2 linked regions of the Arabidopsis thaliana genome follow. The protein of the gene in region 1 interacts with the protein of each later gene in a pairwise test. Each region holds a gene or a part of one and is shown in the gene's direction. Other genes may lie near its edges.

What was found. Proteins that work in one complex are often made in the same cells at the same time.
Region 2: the proteins of NAP5 (region 1) and UGT73C2 interact in a protein complementation assay, tested with the Arabidopsis thaliana proteins (one large-scale study listed by BioGRID).

Annotation. Positions count from the first base shown.
Region 1 is NC_003070.9:26,882,562-26,887,728, reverse strand, and holds NAP5 (non-intrinsic ABC protein 5), read left to right. Parts: upstream 1-2,559; coding exon 2,560-2,790; intron 2,791-2,886; coding exon 2,887-2,973; intron 2,974-3,058; coding exon 3,059-3,715; downstream 3,716-5,167. Other genes in the region: GDPD4 (PLC-like phosphodiesterases superfamily protein), read left to right, coding at 408-674, 761-858, 963-1,023, 1,114-1,194, 1,296-1,388, 1,635-1,724, 1,798-1,925, 2,005-2,173; AT1G71320 (F-box family protein), read right to left, coding at 3,911-4,542, 4,656-4,892, 4,935-5,167.
Region 2 is NC_003071.7:15,411,924-15,417,337, reverse strand, and holds UGT73C2 (UDP-glucosyl transferase 73C2), read left to right. Parts: upstream 1-2,743; 5' UTR 2,744-2,805; coding exon 2,806-4,296; 3' UTR 4,297-4,371; downstream 4,372-5,414. Other genes in the region: AT2G36770 (UDP-Glycosyltransferase superfamily protein), read left to right, coding at 621-2,111; UGT73C1 (UDP-glucosyl transferase 73C1), read left to right, coding at 5,332-5,414.

The DNA of each region.
Region 1 (5,167 bases):
GTCTCATCGGATTTGTAGCTGCTTCCGATTTGGCGTTTACAGCAATTCCGGTGAACTTAAGTTTTTTGTGGTTATGATTCTCCACCTGCGACATTCTGCAACTCATCATTTTCTGTTTCCACGTGTCCTCTTTACCGTGTCTCTAGTGCCATGTGGGCTTTGACTTATTAGCACATTAGCTTTCTCTTCTTCAGAAGGTGGTCTTTGGGCTTTTGTCCGTTTATGGCCTGTTATATGGCTTTGTAAAATATGGCTTGTTAAAAGGCTTTGTAATATAAATAATAAAACAGTTGTGACAAAAAAAAAAAAATATATAGTTTGATGGTGATTGGTGAACTTCTTTTTTTTCCAAGATTGCAGTAAACGTCGTCTTTAGCTCCAAAAACAACCTTTGTCTTGTTCAGCTAATGGCGATTTTTGAATGGCGGCACAGAAGACGGCCATTCGACGGCGGAGGAACTCGTCGCCGTCGTTTCTTCAGCCCATTGTATTCGAGAAATTTCAAGAGAACGATTCTCTTCGCTGTGATTTTCTTAGCTATCTTCCCTCCTCTCTACTTCCATTTCAAGCTCCGACGAATTCGTCAGATTGTCGCGCAAAAGTGCGATTGGCTTCACCATCCTCCACTTGTCTGTGCTCACGGCGGCGATTCCACCCTCGCTTTCCCAAACACTGTACGTACACTCTCGATCTCTTCTTCTTCACACTCTTGCTACTAACCTTTTTAAACCTTAATCTCTTGGACTCTTCTCAATCGTAGATGGACGCTTACAGTTTCGCTATACGTTCTCGAGTTGATTGCATTGAAGTCGATGTTTCTCGTTCCTCCGATGGTGTTTTATTCGCTCTTCACAACAGGTTACAGACTCTGATCCTTGTTGTATCATCTTCTTCTAATGTTTCTGTGTTTGGATTCTCATCGGTGTTCTTCTTATTCATCTTCTGATCACACGCACAGTCAGGGATCTGCAGCGTATTGCTCGTAACTCTTCTGTTCAAGTTGGAGATCTGAGTATGAAACAGGTCTCATCTCTCCCTCTCTCTCTTTACCAGCTTTTGGGATATGCTTTTTTGCATCCATTTTTCATAAACCTTTTGATGATCTTTTTGCAGATCAAGGAACTCGATGTCTCGGAGATTGTTAAAGGAACCTTGGGAAGTAGTAGGATTCCTACTCTTGAAGAGGCTTTAGCGGTAATGCCTGTTTTTTTAATTACTATCTTGTCATTGCTTTGCTTTGTAATTTCTGCTTAGTAACAAGTGGCTGAAGCTAGTTTTGATCTTGAATCATCTAGTTGATATCGAATTCAGTCCGGAAAGTGATCCTTGATGCCAAAGTTGGACCGCCAATGTATGAAAAGGGGTTAGCACAAGACATCCTTTCTATTGTAAGTACTATGTTTTTGTTAGCTCTTGTACTTGTAAAGCTTTAGTACAATGTGCTCGAGATTTATAAACATGTTTTGATTCCTTAATAGCGTTGCTTAATCATTTATTTCCTGGTATCTTTGTACACAAAGCTAGAACAGCTTACTATAGATACTTGAAAAAACAAGAGTATGGATAAATTGTTGATGTTTCAATGGTGGTATTTCTGGCTTTGCTCACATGAATCGCCAATCCTCTGTTGTTAGATTGAGAGAGCGCAGTGCAATAATTGCATCGTATGGGCCAAAAGCGACACTTTGGCTAGGGACATAATTAGACGAGCACCAGATACTATGGTAAACAGAAATGGATTGTCTTGTGAGGATCAGATAGAGAAGTTTCTTGCTCATTTCCTAGTGATTTTGGCAGGTGGGATACATTGTGATGGTAGATCCTTTGACTGGGGCGAGAAACAGCCTGCTGAGAATGAAGGGAGCTAGGGTTGTGGGAGTTTATCATCCCTTGATCGATGAAGAATTAGTTAGAGTTGTCCGTCGGTAAGCAATCGATTTCAATGTTTTCAAATAAAAACACACCTGCTCATGTGTTTACAACCTTGCTCGATCTGATCAACAGGAGAAACAAAGAGGTGTATGCATGGACTGTGGATGATGCTGATCCCATGAAAAGGATGCTTCACTTAGGTGTGGATGCTGTTGTGACGAGCGATCCATCTATGTTTCAGGGTCTCATGGAAGATCTTAGAACTGAGTGTCTTGAAGAAGGTTTTTCAATACGGACGTGAGAATTTCTTTTTCGAGCATTCTTAATGACTGTAATACCAACTCAGAAGTTTTTGGCAAAGATCTTTCTTTATGTTGTTTTGCTGATCCACAAGTTTTTGACAACTACACACTACGACGCCTTGATACACAGTAAGACGAGTCTTTCTCAAGAAAAGCAAAGTATGGCCGGTTCTTGATGAAGCCATTGCTTCTATCGATACAGCTACTGATAATCTGATCCAGGAGACTCTGAGGCAACACTTTTCGGACTGCACAGTGAAAACAATCTCACACAGATATCTTCTTTTATACATAACGATATGAGCCTGCTCCTAGAACAAGGTCTAATACACTTGTATTTAAGTTTAAATAATCAGATGACTGATATTAAGTCTGTTTATATAATATGGATAGAGAACGATATGATAAGGTGATTGAAGCATGTTCTTTGAGTAAAGATCTGGAGATACTTTCATTCGGTGATCAGACCGTCATTGGAGAACGCGGCATCAATTTGAGTGGTGGACAAAAGCAAAGAATACATATTGCACGCGCTCTCTACCAAGATGCGGACATCTATCTGTTTGATGATCCTTTTAGTGCTGTCGATGCACACACAGGGTCACATCTCTTTAAGGTACAATCTTCTTACTTAGCCATTAGTGTGATTGTGATTTCTCCTTCCGTAAACAATCATGTATCAAATTTATTTTCATTCTCATACTTTTTTCAGGAAGCTCTACGAGGGCTTTTATGTTCTAAATCGGTTATATATGTAACCCATCAAGTTGAGTTCTTACCTTCTGCTGATCTTACACTGGTATGTGAATAGTTCACTGTCTTTTATCATTTTCTACAGCACTGAGAATATGAAATCATCCATAACCGATTTTCTTATGCCTCAGGTCATGAAAGATGGGAGAATCAGCCAAGCTGGAAAATATAATGATATCCTCATCTCTGGAACAGATTTCAGGGAGCTTATAGGTGCGCATCAAGAGTCTCTGGCAGTAGTTGGGTCGGCTGATGCCAGTTCTGTTTCTGAAAACTCAGCTTTAGACGAAGAAAATGGTGTTGTGAGAGATGATATTGGTTTCGACGGGAAACAAGAAAGTCAAGATCTGAAGAACGATAAATTAGATTCTGGGGAGCCCCAAAGACAATTTGTTCAAGAGGAAGAGAGGGCGAAAGGTAGCGTCGCTTTGGATGTATACTGGAAATATATCACACTGGCATACGGAGGAGCTCTTGTGCCTTTCATATTGTTGGGGCAAATTCTCTTTCAGCTTCTACAGATTGGAAGTAACTACTGGATGGCTTGGGCTACTCCTATTTCTGAGGATGTGCAAGCTCCTGTGAAACTTTCTACGTTAATGGTTGTGTATGTTGCTTTGGCATTTGGAAGTTCCCTCTGCATTCTTGTTAGAGCCACGCTTCTTGTCACGGCTGGTTACAAGACTGCTACTGAACTGTTTCATAAAATGCATCACTGCATTTTCCGTTCTCCAATGTCTTTTAAAATTGCAAAAACTTGTTCAAAAACTTGTATATATTCATCATAACTATATCCAAATATGTATTATATTGACAGAAAGAAAGAAAACAAGAGAAAATAAAACATAAAAATAATCCATAATGTCAAATAAAGAAATTACAATATACTTAAAATAAATAAATATCTAAACATCTTTTTTTTAAAAATATTCTTTTTAACTTACATATAATATTGTTAAAAATTGAAAGTATAATTAACAACATCAAAGCATCAAATTTGAAGGAGAAATCATTGTTGGCAAATACGAAATCGTTCTTTGTCTAAAAAAAGAAACTTGATCTTGACGATTTCTGATATTTGAAAAATAGGCAGCCGCTAGACCAAGCATCCAAAACTTTTCATGTAATTGGTTGGTTCTTATAACGTCAATCTTAATAGAATATATTTTCTCCCATTTTTCGGTAGGATATTCTTGGTGTAAACTCCAAACGACCAAATTTGAACTTTCTAGCACATCCGATAGGCACAAACGTTCATTCAGATTCCACATTTCTATATTAGTAGCATATTTGGTGTCACACTCTGGTAATAATATCCATCGAAATTCTTCAGTGTGAAGATCGATAGCTAATAGCTGGTAAGATGTTTGACTAAGCTTCTTTAATGTCAACCAAAAGAGGGATCCGTTGGCGTAGACTGATGTTTGCTCATCGCAGAAGATACAATGATGTATGTCATAAAACCCTACGTCTCTTTGCTCACCATTATCAAGGGATAGGACCTTGGCCTTGAACTCATGATCATGTATTTCATATCTTGTATATATCAAAACCACCTTATAAGATTTTTTAACAATATCTTTGCCAAATCCAGCAAGAGACGGCATTCTCTTCACTAATCCACCTTGACGAAAAATTTTTTTTTGATAAATAGGTATATAACATATTACTATGTGAAAGTTAAAATTCAACTCTATAATCAACCATAGAACAAGAAAGTTGACAAACCAGATATGTCATAATCCAATACTGATTGAGAAAGTTGTCTCCATGGTTTATTGGCCATTGCGGGGGTTAAGTAACTAAGAGTAAATGGCCATTGCATAAATTCGGGAGAAAGTTTCATGTGTTCTTTAGTCGTCGGATTGATCAAGTAAATGGACCTGAAATCGTCATGGATCCGAAGCAAGACCAATCCATCACAAGACCCCAATACTTGAATAGTTTTATTTTGAGATTCGTCGACTGGATCACCAGAAAAAGTGTAGTAACTAGAAGAAGAAAGACAAGTTTTTCTGTTGTTTTGATCATCTCTAGAAAAAGTCTCCAAAAGAAAAGTTATTGAGTTTGAATATTCTTCAACAAAATTCGCTGTAAAGTGTTGACTAATATGAAGAAATTTCATATTAGGGGTTGGTAAGCCTGTACGAATGAGTCGTTTGTGGGAAAAGTAGGTTGATTCGATCATCGATGTCCATTTTTTTGATAAGACTTTGAATCTAGCCAGTGATTTTATTGGA
Region 2 (5,414 bases), on another chromosome or scaffold:
CTTTTTCATATTGACCTAATTATAAATTTATAATGATTTTGTTTTTTTTGTCAAAAGTGTTATATGTATGAAATCTAGTAGATATAGTACGTTTTCTTGAAAAGACTCAAGTGTCAGATTTGGCGGCTATGGATATGAATTACATTGAATTTTTTTTTGTATACGAACTGAACTGAAGTTTAAAACGTCAAATAGAGAGTGATGTTTAGTGATGTTTTCAAACACAATTCTGATTTTGGTAATGTCTGAAAGAGTCATATTTTGTTAGTGAATTACTGGACTTTTATAGCTAACTGAGACTCCAATATTGATTTCGTGTTTTGCGGATCAAGTATCATATTTTTTACGCGTTTTTGGTAAAGAAAAGACACAAGAAAATGCAAAATGGTCACAAAAGGACGACAGAAGAAAGTATTGACCTTGAGGTGTCCTCTTGTAATAACATCTGCCGTTTATGTACAACAACAACATTGTTACGTAATCTATTGCACATGTCAATGAAGCCTTATTTGGACCACCACTATTCTTATCCATCTTCTATATATAAAGTCACGATCACATGATCACACACAATCCAAAAACCACAAAACTTGAGAGTTCATCATTGAGTTGGAACCGGTATGGCTTCCGAAAAATCCCACAAAGTTCATCCTCCTCTTCACTTTATTCTTTTCCCTTTCATGGCTCAGGGCCACATGATTCCCATGATTGATATAGCAAGGCTCTTGGCTCAGCGCGGTGCGACAGTAACTATTGTCACGACACGTTATAATGCAGGGAGGTTCGAGAATGTCTTAAGTCGTGCCATGGAGTCTGGTTTACCCATCAACATAGTGCATGTGAATTTTCCATATCAAGAATTTGGTTTGCCAGAAGGAAAAGAGAATATAGATTCGTATGACTCAATGGAGCTGATGGTACCTTTCTTTCAAGCAGTTAACATGCTCGAAGATCCGGTCATGAAGCTCATGGAAGAGATGAAACCTAGACCTAGCTGTATTATTTCTGATTTGCTCTTGCCTTATACAAGCAAAATCGCAAGGAAATTCAGTATACCAAAGATAGTTTTCCACGGCACGGGTTGCTTTAATCTTTTGTGTATGCATGTTCTACGCAGAAACCTCGAGATCTTGAAGAACTTAAAGTCGGATAAAGATTATTTCCTGGTTCCTAGTTTTCCTGATAGAGTTGAATTTACAAAGCCTCAAGTTCCAGTGGAAACAACTGCAAGTGGAGATTGGAAAGCGTTCTTGGACGAAATGGTAGAAGCAGAATACACATCCTATGGTGTGATCGTCAACACATTTCAGGAGTTGGAGCCTGCTTATGTCAAAGACTACACGAAGGCTAGGGCTGGAAAAGTATGGTCCATTGGACCTGTTTCCTTGTGCAACAAGGCAGGTGCTGATAAAGCTGAGAGGGGAAACCAGGCCGCCATTGATCAAGATGAGTGTCTTCAATGGCTTGATTCTAAAGAAGATGGTTCGGTGTTATATGTTTGCCTTGGAAGTATCTGTAATCTACCTTTGTCTCAGCTCAAGGAGCTGGGGCTAGGCCTTGAAAAATCCCAAAGATCTTTTATTTGGGTCATAAGAGGTTGGGAAAAGTATAATGAACTATATGAGTGGATGATGGAGAGCGGTTTTGAAGAAAGAATCAAAGAGAGAGGACTTCTTATTAAAGGGTGGTCACCTCAAGTCCTTATCCTTTCACATCCTTCCGTTGGAGGATTCCTGACACACTGTGGATGGAACTCGACTCTCGAAGGAATCACCTCAGGCATTCCACTGATCACTTGGCCGCTGTTTGGAGACCAATTCTGCAACCAAAAACTGGTCGTTCAAGTACTAAAAGCCGGTGTAAGTGCCGGGGTTGAAGAAGTCATGAAATGGGGAGAAGAGGAGAAAATAGGAGTGTTAGTGGATAAAGAAGGAGTAAAGAAGGCAGTGGAAGAGTTAATGGGTGCGAGTGATGATGCAAAAGAGAGGAGAAGAAGAGTCAAAGAGCTTGGAGAATCAGCTCACAAGGCTGTGGAAGAAGGAGGCTCTTCTCATTCTAACATCACATACTTGCTACAAGACATAATGCAACAAGTGAAATCCAAGAACTGATTACATCATTTTTAGTAACATTACCATAATTTAATTCAAATTAAGTCTGTTCTTCTGAGATGTATTAAAAAAAACTTATAATGATGCACTAGATGATGATTTCCGCTGTATGCGGACTAAATTTACTAGTAAAATTAACATAAACTCTAGCCACCGTATTAAATTAAATCATTTTCAGGTTAAAAATTTATTCAGACCTCTTCTCAAGTTAAAAACTATATCATTTTCAAGAAAAGAAATATCAAATACTAATAGTAAAGGTAGATGTGTCATAAGAGCAAATCATACCACACCAACATACGTTGTTTCTTATATAGCTTCTCTTGATTTATTTTGAAGACGTTATCTCTTATATGTCACTGTCGATAGAGTCCCAGTTACGTTTGATATCTTTATTTTCTTAATCAAGTTGATTTTAGCGGTTGTGAATTCTTTCCACTTTATTTTAGATGTAGTTATCAAATATATGAATACAAAATAATACAAAAGATAGGTGCCCGCCACAAAACGTAATGTACTAATAATCTCTGTGAACCAAGATTTTGGTACTTCCAAGTTTTTTATTCTTTTTCATGAATCAACAAATATAAGATTAAAGTATGCACTGACATTTAGACAAACACACACACACACACACACACACACACACACACAATCGGAATCAAAGCAAAAAAGAACTTAGAGATAGGTCCTCATGGCTTTCGAGAAGACCCGCCAATTTCTTCCTCCGCTTCACTTTGTTCTCTTCCCTTTCATGGCTCAAGGCCACATGATCCCCATGGTGGATATTGCAAGGATCTTGGCTCAGCGCGGGGTGACTATTACCATTGTCACGACGCCTCACAACGCAGCCAGGTTCAAAGATGTCCTAAACCGGGCCATCCAGTCAGGCTTGCACATTAGGGTTGAGCATGTGAAGTTTCCTTTTCAAGAAGCTGGTTTGCAAGAAGGACAAGAGAATGTTGATTTTCTTGACTCAATGGAGTTAATGGTACATTTCTTTAAAGCGGTTAACATGCTTGAAAATCCGGTCATGAAGCTCATGGAAGAGATGAAACCTAAACCAAGCTGCCTAATTTCTGATTTTTGTTTGCCTTATACAAGCAAAATCGCTAAGAGGTTCAATATCCCAAAGATCGTTTTCCATGGCGTGTCTTGCTTTTGTCTTTTGAGTATGCATATTCTACACCGAAACCACAATATCTTACATGCTTTAAAGTCGGACAAAGAGTATTTCTTGGTTCCTAGTTTTCCAGATAGAGTTGAATTTACAAAGCTTCAAGTTACTGTGAAAACAAACTTTAGTGGAGATTGGAAAGAGATCATGGACGAACAGGTGGATGCTGATGACACGTCCTATGGTGTAATTGTCAACACATTTCAGGATTTGGAGTCTGCCTATGTGAAAAACTACACGGAGGCTAGGGCTGGTAAAGTATGGAGCATCGGTCCGGTTTCCTTGTGCAACAAGGTAGGAGAAGACAAAGCTGAGAGGGGAAACAAGGCAGCCATTGATCAAGACGAGTGTATTAAATGGCTTGATTCTAAAGATGTAGAGTCGGTGCTGTATGTTTGCCTTGGAAGTATATGCAATCTTCCTCTGGCTCAGCTTAGAGAGCTCGGGCTAGGCCTCGAGGCAACTAAAAGACCATTCATTTGGGTCATAAGAGGTGGGGGAAAGTATCATGAACTAGCTGAGTGGATCTTAGAGAGCGGTTTTGAAGAAAGAACCAAAGAGAGAAGCCTTCTCATAAAAGGATGGTCGCCTCAAATGCTTATCCTTTCACACCCTGCCGTTGGAGGATTCCTGACACATTGTGGATGGAACTCAACTTTAGAAGGAATCACCTCAGGGGTTCCATTGATCACTTGGCCATTATTTGGAGACCAATTCTGCAACCAGAAACTGATCGTGCAGGTGCTAAAAGCAGGTGTAAGTGTTGGGGTTGAAGAGGTCATGAAATGGGGAGAAGAGGAGAGTATTGGAGTGTTAGTGGATAAAGAAGGAGTGAAGAAGGCAGTGGACGAAATAATGGGCGAGAGTGATGAAGCAAAAGAGAGAAGAAAAAGAGTCAGAGAGCTTGGAGAATTAGCTCACAAGGCTGTGGAAGAAGGAGGCTCTTCTCATTCTAATATCATATTTTTGCTACAAGATATAATGCAACAAGTAGAATCCAAGAGTTGATTGTATATATTGTTGTTGTTTGTTAAATCATTGTGCGTGCATGTAATATCTTATCAGTTATTTGTTGGGTAATCGAATTCGTCTTGTTTTGCTATTAGAATTATGTAAATATTTTAAAAACTACAACTTATATACATTGAAATCGTAGAAAGAGCCAATGTCTAATAATTTCATTGTATAGACAGCTGCGCTGGTAGTCCGGCGGAGTTCAACTTTCCTAATTCTTCTAGCGGTTTTAGGCTTATTATCAATAATGTTTTTTTTAAAGAAATCTACAATTTCCCTAATAATTCCTTTTATGTATATCCGTTTATAGTTTTTCATATTTTAATAGCTATACAAAATTTGATTTATCTTGTCACCAATCTGAATTTCAAACAATCAAGATATTTGTCATAAGGAGATTTTTTTTTTTTTTTTTTGTGCACCTAAGGAGATTTTATTTTAAATGAAATTTTCATTAAGAGTTTTGATTTTTCGGAAGAAAAAAAAAAGAGGAAACAAAAAATACGTTTTTAAGAAAACAACCAAGTATTTCACATATCCTAATTTAATATCCTATCAAAATCAGTCGTCATAAAGCAAAAAAAAAAAAAAAAAAAAAAAAGACTAGAATAGCTAGAAATCTAGAGTACACACTTTGATTTAGTTTGAAGACAAATGTTGAGGCTTGTTTGTCCATACGACATAAAAAGAAGGAGAGACTGAGATATTCCGAATTTGATTTTTCTTTCTTTATTCGTTTATCCAATACTAATTTTTACGGCTATAAACTTTTCACTATCTTTTCGACGTACCTCTAGCTAAAAGATATTTTCTCTTAAAATTTTGGGCTTATATGAATACAAAAGAACATATGAGTGCCCGCCACGATATGTACTGTGAACCACTTAGTGTGTTTTGTAACTATTACGAATAATAAGCCAATTTCCTTTTGTTCTTTCTTACATCACATCTTAATATATGTAGGCACAGAGAAACACACACATTATCGGAACCAAAGCAAAAAAAATAAACCTTAGAAGAGAGTTCCTCATGGCATCGGAATTTCGTCCTCCTCTTCATTTTGTTCTCTTCCCTTTCATGGCTCAAGGCCACATGATCCCAATGGTAGATAT